Schizosaccharomyces pombe: one gene and its partners. The protein of the gene in region 2 purifies or fractionates together with the protein of the main gene of each other region. This does not show direct contact. Each region holds a gene or a part of one and is shown on either strand. Other genes may lie near its edges.

What was found.
Region 1: the proteins of rmp1 (region 2) and pop8 purify together in Schizosaccharomyces pombe (affinity purification with mass spectrometry, with the first as the bait; one study listed by BioGRID). This does not show direct contact.
Region 3: the proteins of rmp1 (region 2) and rpp40 purify together in Schizosaccharomyces pombe (affinity purification with mass spectrometry, with the first as the bait; one study listed by BioGRID). This does not show direct contact.

The regions. Positions count from the first base shown.
Region 1 is NC_003423.3:1,110,931-1,113,696, reverse strand, and holds pop8 (RNase P and RNase MRP subunit Pop8), read right to left. Parts: upstream 1,001-2,766; 5' UTR 963-1,000; coding exon 910-962; intron 869-909; coding exon 710-868; intron 653-709; coding exon 538-652; downstream 1-537. Other genes in the region: mRNA processing protein Cft1, read right to left, coding at 1-358; erg27 (3-keto sterol reductase), read right to left, coding at 1,696-2,232, 2,281-2,719.
Region 2 is NC_003424.3:3,918,899-3,922,264, reverse strand, and holds rmp1 (ribonuclease MRP complex subunit), read right to left. Parts: upstream 1,259-3,366; 5' UTR 1,190-1,258; coding exon 554-1,189; downstream 1-553. Other genes in the region: SPOM_SPAC323.07C (MatE family transporter), read left to right, coding at 2,401-3,062, 3,125-3,366.
Region 3 is NC_003424.3:2,337,779-2,341,875, reverse strand, and holds rpp40 (Rnase P subunit), read right to left. Parts: upstream 2,080-4,097; 5' UTR 1,993-2,079; coding exon 1,900-1,992; intron 1,896-1,899; exon of another isoform or gene 1,856-1,895; coding exon 1,708-1,855; exon of another isoform or gene 1,658-1,707; coding exon 1,601-1,657; exon of another isoform or gene 1,549-1,600; intron 1,538-1,548; exon of another isoform or gene 1,485-1,537; coding exon 926-1,484; intron 886-925; coding exon 735-885; 3' UTR 572-734; downstream 1-571. Other genes in the region: nas6 (gankyrin), read right to left, coding at 2,859-3,458, 3,597-3,701.

The DNA of each region.
Region 1 (2,766 bases), on a different chromosome or scaffold from region 2:
AATCACACCCATTACTTCCCTTTCCCTTCAAAGCCGATATTTCCGTTATAGTCCCGAAGACTTTAACTTGAGAAACGAGTCTAAGAACGTAGGTAGTTTGTTCATTGGTACGTATGAGATGCATATTTGTCTCCATGAACGCCTGACTTTCATCGATTATGCTGGTGGAGAATTCATTCTGCAAGGAATCATCTAATGGGAAACTGGATTCATCTTTTTGAATCTTTTCAATCTCAAAAAGGTGTAAAGAATTCACTTTACTTACCACTAGGTTATTAGATACAAGAGAAGTAAATTGGCCTTGGACAGCATTTTTTATAACTGTAGAGTCCACTAGGTCTTGAAATATGGTTGACATAAAGCAAATACCACATTAAATGTGCCTTTCAACTGGGACGTTGAGCTTCTGGAAAGGATGAGGTAGAGTAAGGAGTTGGACGCGTCCAAATACAGTGTACAAAATCTACAAGTAGGTTTTAAAAGCAATTCATTTTAAATAACTAGTAATTTACATAATAATAATACAATCCTTTTTACTTATGAAAAAGGAACCGCTTGACAAGGAAAGTCTGAAGCGTGTAATACCATAAGTCTTATTTGTTCAGGTTCGCGAACATAGGATCCGAGTGCCACAAGGACTTTCTTTTTATCCCTATTATTATTGTTCAGTAAGTAAAATAGCACATTACAATTACAGTAGTTGACATACTCTTTATGGCACCTTAGATACAAAAATTTTGATTGTCGATGCAAAAAATCAATAGGAATTGCAGACCCAAATATTCCAAATGACTGATTTAGAGCTAATGTGATGAGATGTCGTAAAGAAATATCGTCTATTTCATCTATAGGGGTAGTACCTCCAACCCTAAGTATGTCAGTGAAACAAATTATCCCAGACTTCCTTACACTTCAAGTATTATATATGACCATTCGCTTTTTAAACGTTGATGAAGTACCATGGCCTCTTTTTAACTCAAAAGGAAGGCAGATCGTGTCTGGTGAAAGTTGTATAGAGAAGTAAACTTCTGAGTAAGTACGATACCAACACGTTTAAGGATGCATTTGCTGCAGTTCCTGTGGAATCTACAAGCTCGTAATTATCATACTAAAATTATCGTACCATCACATAAACTGTTATGTGAAGGCTAATCTTCGAATAATTGAGGTACTGTTTAATTATGTTTCCTGTTTTCATGCCTGTAGAAAGCAAACAGCTGAACAAAATGAGGAAGCCTTCAATTCGAAGTGTAATATTAGAAAAATTTAATAACTTGAATTATTGCTATTTTTCATAATTTAATTTTGCTGGTTGATAAAATATATCCAGATACACAATTTACGAAATGCGGTCTTATAGCTAGCATGAGACAAAGACGGCAACTCGCGGAATTCTTCATATAAACTTTTCCGAGTCCGAGGTTCTAATAAATTCGTATGTTTGTATTAACTAAATTGAGACATAAACTATATTCCAGACTTGGTTAAAATCCCCTTATCTATTCATTTTGTCAAGATATCTATACCGATTGTAGCAAAATTTGATAAAAGCAATTTTCAAAATGTTTTACTGAGAATGCAATGAATCAGGGATTGTTCTTTCATAACTCCCCTCGTCTCGTGCACTTTAAAATTAACTGGTACTCCAGATTTTTATCAAGGCCTCCGCGCAAGAGAATATGTAAATGTTTCCCTTTACGAAACCAGCTTCTTTTTCCATTCCTGGTAAAGTTTTGTCATATATTCTAAAGCTTTCTCTTGCTCTGAAGGCAAAATTAATTCCACAGGAGTAGAGAGGACTCTTTCATGACCAAAACGAGTCACGGCTGCTCCCCACTTGATAGATTGATCTTCTTTGGTAGCATGTAAAGCAGTCCAAAGAAAAGCAAAAGCAGCAACGTATGGAGAAATTGTATGCCAAGGACTTCCAAGTAAGCGACAAATATAGAAACCGAGCTTTGCACACATAACCAATATAGGACCGAGGAAAGTTTCATACATGTTAGTAGTACATAGTCCGGGATGGACAAGGTATTGTTCAAAAGGGAGTCCCTTTTCAAGTTCTGCATAGTGTAACACATCTAACAAACGCTTTGAAGATTGATAGGGTTGCTCGCCGTGAAAACATTGTAGGTCTTCAAAATCAAGGGATTTTTTTTCTGCTACTAAACTGCTTGTAAGGACTACCTTTGTTGACGAACGGAGCACTTTTAGTTCGGCCAGGCGATTTTTCTTATGTAAATTAGTACTAACATACGGAATTAAGGTGAAAAAACTTACCAAATAAAAATGACCAAAAACATTACTTTCAAATATGTAACCGAGGGAGTCATTGCTCACACGTCCAGCAGTCTCTTTGTAAAAGGTTGGATGCGTCAGTGCCTGGATAGGGTTGATCAAAGTAGAAAAGATAGCCTTTAGCCATTGAATACCTTCCAGGTCCCAAGCACCAGCATTTAGGTAAACAAAATCTAATTTAGGGAATCTAGTAGCGATATCTTGCACCGCAGCTTCCACTGATGCCATATTCGACAAGTCTAACAAAACGTATTCCAACCGTATTTTCCTATCGGGAAAGAATTCTTTCAATCTTCTACAGGCATCTTCTGCCTTTTCACGACTCCTGCATGTAAGAATTACCGTGAATACTTCGGGTTCATCTTGCAAACGCGGTTGGTAGAACTGCAAAAGACGCGTAGCTATTCCAAAACCAAGACCACTGTAATCATTAACTGTGTTGCTCTAGATATCTTAATAATATTTTAC
Region 2 (3,366 bases):
CACTTGTTCTAATAAGAAAACCGTTGAAAAATAAAATGAATATTTAATTTGTTCACGATGTGCGCATAAAAAACAAATAACCAGAATATATGCAGTGATAGTGTTGAAAAGTGTTTCAGTAGAACAGAAAACCCAATATTAATAAATTGAAGGTTTAATAGAATTAGAAGCTCAGAATAGGTTGAAAAGAATAAATACGTTATGGGGATGGCTTAGAATCGCTGCATATTCAAACTTGACAAGTAACGAAAAGAATAAATTAAAGCCCGCGAGCACTTCAAATGCACAGATAAATAAAAGATATGTACAAACAAAGAAAAAAAATATGTTTGATTCTATACAACAGGATGCCTTGATGCTGGATGAAATGCAGTAGAGACTCAAAGACCCAAATGGTGTTATGATGAATGACAGCGTTTTCGTATCATAGCGTAATGTTCTTAATAAAAATAGAGAGATTTTGCGAGACTGGTGTCAGAAATAGATGAAACAAAAAGCAAAAGTAAAGAAAAGAAAAAATCAATTGAAAATGGAAAGACTAATTGAGGTTTATTTATCCGAATATATCATCAATTTCGTCTCGTCCCTTTCTTGCACGTTTCTTTTTTTTCTTGACTGTGGAATTTGAGTTTTTGGATTTACGTTTGGTACCTTGAGAAACAGTTATAGGAGAAGAAGACAAGAAGAGAGATTCATCTTGATTCTTGAGAAAAGAATTAGGAGAGGATACAGTCAGTTTCTCATAACTAGTAGAAGCAGGATTTATAGACAATGAAATAGGTTCCGTAGCTAGCAATTCATCGCGAGCTACAACAGTCCCAGTGTCTATGTCATCTTGAGACTGTAATTCCAATTTTTTTTGCTCCTTTTGACTAAAGACTATTTCCGATTGTATTTTTGCTTCGTACTCTATTCCGCCCATAACAAACCAAACGCGAGCTAAGATACCCAGCAAAACTAACCCTAAGGCTGGATACTGACCATGGGCAATTAAGTTTGTAAAATAAAAGTACGATTTCGGCAATTGTTCTAAAATAGCAATTTTCGCTTTTTCATTTCCATCTAGCGACTGCTTTAGTCTTCGAAGCAGCATTCGTACGTGTCTCCACCAAACACTTAGTCGATGCTGATTTCTATTCCTATACACGATTTTTTGCAATAAAACTACATCGTATTGCAATTCCTGCATATCGTTGGACTAGACAAATAGGTCGTACAAACCACCCAACGAGTGAGCAATGTGAACACGAACACGAACGAAGAAAGTATGTATGTATGAACAGTATCCATTAAATACATTGATGGATGAAAAGAAATAAAGTGTTGCTCAAGTTCTCGTTAAATCAAAATTTGGACGTTAAAAATGAACTGTTCGTATTTGACTTTAACGATTTTTATCATTTTCAATTTCTCTCGATAAGTAATCTTAACGAAAATATATTAGCGAGTAAATCAAGATAATAAACGACACCTGGTTTACGGGAGTGGAAGAAGTAACAGTCGATCCGGGCATTCCGCGGAACGAAGTAGAAACATATGGAGAGCTCATAGACAAAAACAAAAACAAAAGGTACAAATCAATGAAAAGAAATACAAAGAGTTCTAATACTTAGCAATAAAATCCGCTACTGGTCGATGCATCCTTTAGAATCCTACATGATTTATTGTGTCCTTTTTTGTTTCCCATTTTTTAATATGCCTGTTTTAAGATTTTGTAGCATTTGGTACCTGCCATTCGATACCGCCATAATATACTCGTGTAGCAGATAATTTTCACTTTAAGAATCCTTCAAAAAGCACCACTACCGTCGGCTGTTTCTGGCTTCTTTTTCACGGCGTATCGATTCCGCAGTTCAAGACATAAACTGCGTTAATTTTCCTGTCAAATATCCTCCTTTTTGTCAATTAAGCCAGCAGTTTGCCATGAAAAGAAATTTGTAAAATTTGCTGATTGTCGGTACTAAATTTTCAATAGCGAAACTGATAAAAAGTCTAAACGCTATTTGTCCGCTTAGTGCGATTTAAAAATTAATTTTATCTTAATGATATATCATTGGCTCAGTTGAGAGCTTTTGATTTTTGATTGGTTCTCCCTTGTATTTAATCTATGTACGGTACCGATTATCTCTTGCATATCAAGTCGGTACTAGGGGGGACGATTGAGCTGATTAAAAACCTCGCACCGTTCCACGGCTTACCGTTTACCATTGTCTTGTACACACTATCAAACTTGACTTCTCTTCCCCTTATATAGTTAAAGACTTTGTTAATTGTAATTATTGGAAGCTTCATCCTAAGTATAACACAAAAAAGAAAAGATATTAGAAAGGCGAATATAGAGAATTTGAAATATTTTGCTTTTAAAAAATTAATAGTGAAGACAAGGTTAATTCTCAAATTATGAAGCGTTTTTTCTCCAAACTCTTCTCCAAATCCCCGACCTCTGGAAGAGTTCCTTCTCCCGACAGTGATTATTCTGAAGAGGAACAAAGATTACTAGCAGAAGAGAATGGGTACTTCCAGGATAGCAATGAGTATGTGGAGCCTAATATTCCAGCCGTCTACGGTTCTATGATTCCTGTAGCTCAGCAGTTACAGCAGCATCATGTTCATACACCTGGCGAGAGCTTCGCAGATAACGCATCGGGATACCCTGTTATAAAGCACGAGTTGTCAGAACTTTTGCGTCTTGGATCTCCCACCGTCATCGCTTATTTGTTACAATCCTCGGAACAATTTTCTACAGTCTTTACATTGGGACACTTGGGAAAGGAATACTTGGCAGCTTCGTCCCTTTCCACCATGACTGCTGCAATCAGTGCTTTCTCCATTTTCCAAGGTGTTATCTCCTCCTTAGATACCTTAGCCACTCAAGCCTTTGGCGCTAATAAACCCTACAATGTAGCCATCTACCTACAAAGATGTCTGCTTATTTTGGCTGTTTTACACATACCTGTAGCTTTGATTTGGCTTAATCTTGAACATATTCTAATCTTTCTTCACCAAGATCCTATGGTTGCTCATTTGTGTGGTCGTTATATGAGAGTGTTTATCTTGGCTGCGTAAGTACTTTATTAAAATTTGTCCGTTCTCTCTCCTCCTTTCACTAACTGTATTCTTTTAGACCTGGATATGCCGTTTTTGAGGCATTGAAGCGTTACTTGCAAGCTCAAGGCATATTTACCCCTATCACTTATGTATTATGCTTTGCTGCTCCTCTCAATATTCTTTTAAATTACCTTCTTGTATGGCATCCCACAATTGGATTTGGCTTTCTCGGTGCTCCAGTCGCCGTTGCTACTACTTTTTGGTTTCAAAGCATTTGTTTAATATTGTATATTTGTTTCTCCTCCACCCCTATCCCGT
Region 3 (4,097 bases), 1.6 Mb from region 2:
GCTCATCTACTTGTTTTAAAAAAGCGCCAAGATACTTTGGCGTATTGCTTGACAGGAAGACAGTGGAGTCTTCTCTCGTTCAAGTCTTAACGATAGCTAATTTGCAATGGCAGGAGGCTTTTTCCAGATACACCTTACAAGATTCCTTTCATATTACTATGATCCACGAGTCACAGAAGCCGGTAAATAGTCGGATTTGGGAACAATACTTACAGCATATGCACGATAAAAATACTACTAAAATGGGGAATATTTCGTTTAGGATAACTCATCTTGTATGGGATGATAGAGTTATTTGTTTTCGAGTCACTATGAATGAAAACAGCGTCTGGTATGGTAAAACTTGCAACCCTCAACTTCATATAACTTTGGGGACTTCTTCTTCTGACGTTAAAGCTTTTGAATCTAACTTTTTGCTTAAAAAATTGAGATGGCAAGGCGATGAAGTTGATTCGACTGATGGAAACGTAAGATATCTGACTGTTTTACCTAAAATAATAATAGAAGGAATGCTGGAACCCGTTTACTAGTACTTACAATACGGTTTTTTTCCTTATTTTTCTGAATTATATTCAGGATGTGTACACTAGACTTTATTTTTTGGAATATGTATGTAAATATAATTACTTGGGAATATAGAATAAGATAACATAAATTCATATTTTTTAAACTGGTCGTGTTTCCAAAACGTCTATATTTTTATTGGCAGAAAACACATTAGATGACAAAACAATTCAACTCAATCTCCATGTCCAACGAATTCGCTCAGTACGGGAATCATAGAAACTCAGCAAAGAACTATCACCAGAGTGTAATTGACTTGAGTTGTCAACGTCACGGAAAGAGTTGAAGCTTTCAACCCCTATAAAATTCCAAGAAATATTCCTTTACTGTTAGCATCTAAAAACGTATAAGTAGTTATTACCTTATTAACTCGTAAAGTTCTAAACAAGTAGAAGAAGAAAACAACCCTTTGATGGAAAGATAAAGAACGTCAGTAACAGCACAAGATGGTTTGTAACGTGAAATGTAAGGATCAGGAACAAATGAATTTTGCACACATTTTGCATTACAACGTAAAAAAGAAAGAATTTCCAAAACCTCTAATGGACCGTTTGATGGAAAGAGTTCATTTCTATTAAGAGTTGATACAAGTGGCGGTGGGATTTTTGCTTGGTCTAGTTTTCCTTTTTTTAGGTTGATTTCTCGCGAAATCATGGGAACAGGAAGCGAGTGAGACAAGTTGTTTTGGTAAGACTGATCAACCTTCTCAGTTGGAAAAGTAAGATAAAAACTCCACTTTCCAGGAAGACGACCCAAAGCAGCTTTTAATCTTTCAAAGCCTTTCCACTGAGGCCTTAAGAATGCAGACTTTAAGTCAATATTTGCTACCCATAGAGTGTCCTTAGGTTCAGAACTAGAAGGTTTTGCATCAATACCACTAACCAAATAGCTATCTTTGTCAAGAGTGACAGATAGAATACCTTATTAACTGTAAGCAATAAAAATTTCAAAATCTTAAAGATACCCGAAATTGTTTGGCTGGGTAATAATATCCTATAGAGATATGAAAAGCGAACAGTACCGTAAAATAACTCACCTTGACTTATACATATTTTATTATCATTATCGGATGAAGAAACAATGGTTGCAATTCCTATATTGAAAAAATTAGCTACAAAAAAGTGTTCCTAGAAAGTTTCTTACCAGTATGAATAAACGTTGAATATAAATCGGGATGTAACAGCAGAGCGGGTGAGCCAGAGAATTCATAAAAACTAAGATCTTGCACTATTTTCGTTATTGATCTAATTGCTTCTTCAGAGGCGTCTTCTACTGGCAACAAAATATCTAACTAAGTTTTATTATTAGGATTAAGATATAAGCGGATCTACATACCTTTCCATTATATGCATTCTGTAAAATTTCGTGCTCAGTATAATTTTTTTGATATATCTCGTCCTTTAATTCTTTAGTAAAAGCACAGTTCATTTTAATCGTATCTTTTTATTCATAAACTTTTCAGAAAGAAACGCAAAACTATTCTTTCCATATAAAAAAAGACACAGCGCTTCTGACAAGTGTTCATGAATTAGCAGGGAGACTTTGATGATACACCCATCAGCTCATTGTTACTTCATCTTAGCTGTATTAGAAAATATCAGATCAACAAGCACAATATCAAATTCAATATAGATCGTCAATTATATTTAGGCAATTTTCAATTTTTTCAAGTGTAAATAAATTTATTCGTATATAATTTATGACTCTTATAAGTATATTGAAGTAATGAACTGAAGAAAATAATTAAATGTTTTCATTCGTTCTTTGTATTTCACTCAGTATCATTGAAAAAGTTATGCAGACGGTAATTCATAAATTAGTTCAAATCGATGAAAATAATACCGACATCTTCAGATTGGCTTGTAGCGAGATTATTTAATAAAAAACATATTTTTTTACAAACCATTTTCCTTTTAAAAATGCTTATCTATCTATTCCTTTTTATTTATTTTTTTTATTTTAAAAATAATATTTCGAAAAAGAGAATGAAAACAATAAATATATCCATGTAAAAAAAATACCAGGTTAATTATTTAAGTAATAATTTTAATTATTGAGTATAAAACATCACTCAGACAACGAAGAGAACATAAGTTAACAATGGTTCTTTTGTTGTAATTTTCATTTCAATAATTGAAGCTACAAAACCACCTTTTCTATATTTTCGTCAAACGCCATGCATTTTTTTTAAGGTCATTAATACGAAATTAAGAGAATTGTATAATTTAAAGCAGTCGCTTATGAGTTTTAAAACCTCACCTTATTTGAACATTAATTTCTCGTAATATATGGAACTAAATTTCAAGGTTTTGCTCTTTGCAAGCTTCTAAAAATTCATTGCAAACAATACGATCAGGGCAAACCTCCAAAGCAGTATGGTTTTCAGAATCCTTACGTAAAGTATCAGCTCCAGCACGCACCAATTCGACACCAACATCTGGATGTCCTTCTGCTAATGCGAAATGCAATGGTGTGAAGCCATATGAATCCGAAGTATTCAAGGGTGCGCGTTGAGAAATTAAGTATTTGACTACTTGAATCTTTCCAACAGCTGCGGCTCTATGCAATGGTGTTTGGCCTTGAAGATCCTTTTTCCTAATAAGTTCTGGGGCCTTATCACATAATAATTGAACAATAGAAAGACGACCTTTTCCAGCGGCATAATGCAAACATGTTTGACCACCGCGAGTCGTTATGGTTGGATCAACGTCGGAACGGTTTATTAGTTCTTCTATTACATTATCAGGTACTGAGCGATTATTTATAGAGATCATTAAAGGCGTCCATCCTGCCTCATCTTTTTCGTCCGGCTTGATATTGGGTTGCTTTAACAAGAAATAAATGGTATTAACTTTACCAACAGAGCAGGCCCAATGGAGAGGTGTACGTTTGTCCTAACAATATTTGTGATTAGTAAAAACAACATGAGTCATTTAGTAGCTTAGTTACACTTGTTATTCTTGTCAATGCATATTCATTTTCTTTTTCGAATTCACAATAGAATAACAATATTAATTATTAGTTTCACATACATCATCTACCGCATTAAGAGAATTCGGATCATTTTGAATTGCCTGCTCCACATATTCTTCTGGACAGTTTTCTTCGATTGCTTTACCTAAACTTGCATAAACCATTTTATGTAACGACTAGATATGATTTTGTTGTAGTTTTATATGCTTGTTCTGTGTTACTTCAGTGGAAAGACTGTCGCCATTTAATGACACAGAGAATTACGAAATACTTCATTATATCCATTTTTAACATAGCATCCTTTGTCTGCAGATTGCCAACATCAATGTATCATTACAAAAACTAATTATTGTTACTGTACGGATTGTTTATATTTCAATTCCTTAATAATTGTTATTTTAATACATATTATCTTGCTATACTATTTATCTTGGTCCGCTTGATAGAATTTGTAAGTACTGTTGGTCTCTTGCTTGTATATGTGCTCATTCCTTAAATCCTTTGTTTGTGAGGTTTTGCCTGTGTTTTGCAGTCATCAAAAGCTGTATATTTAAGCCATC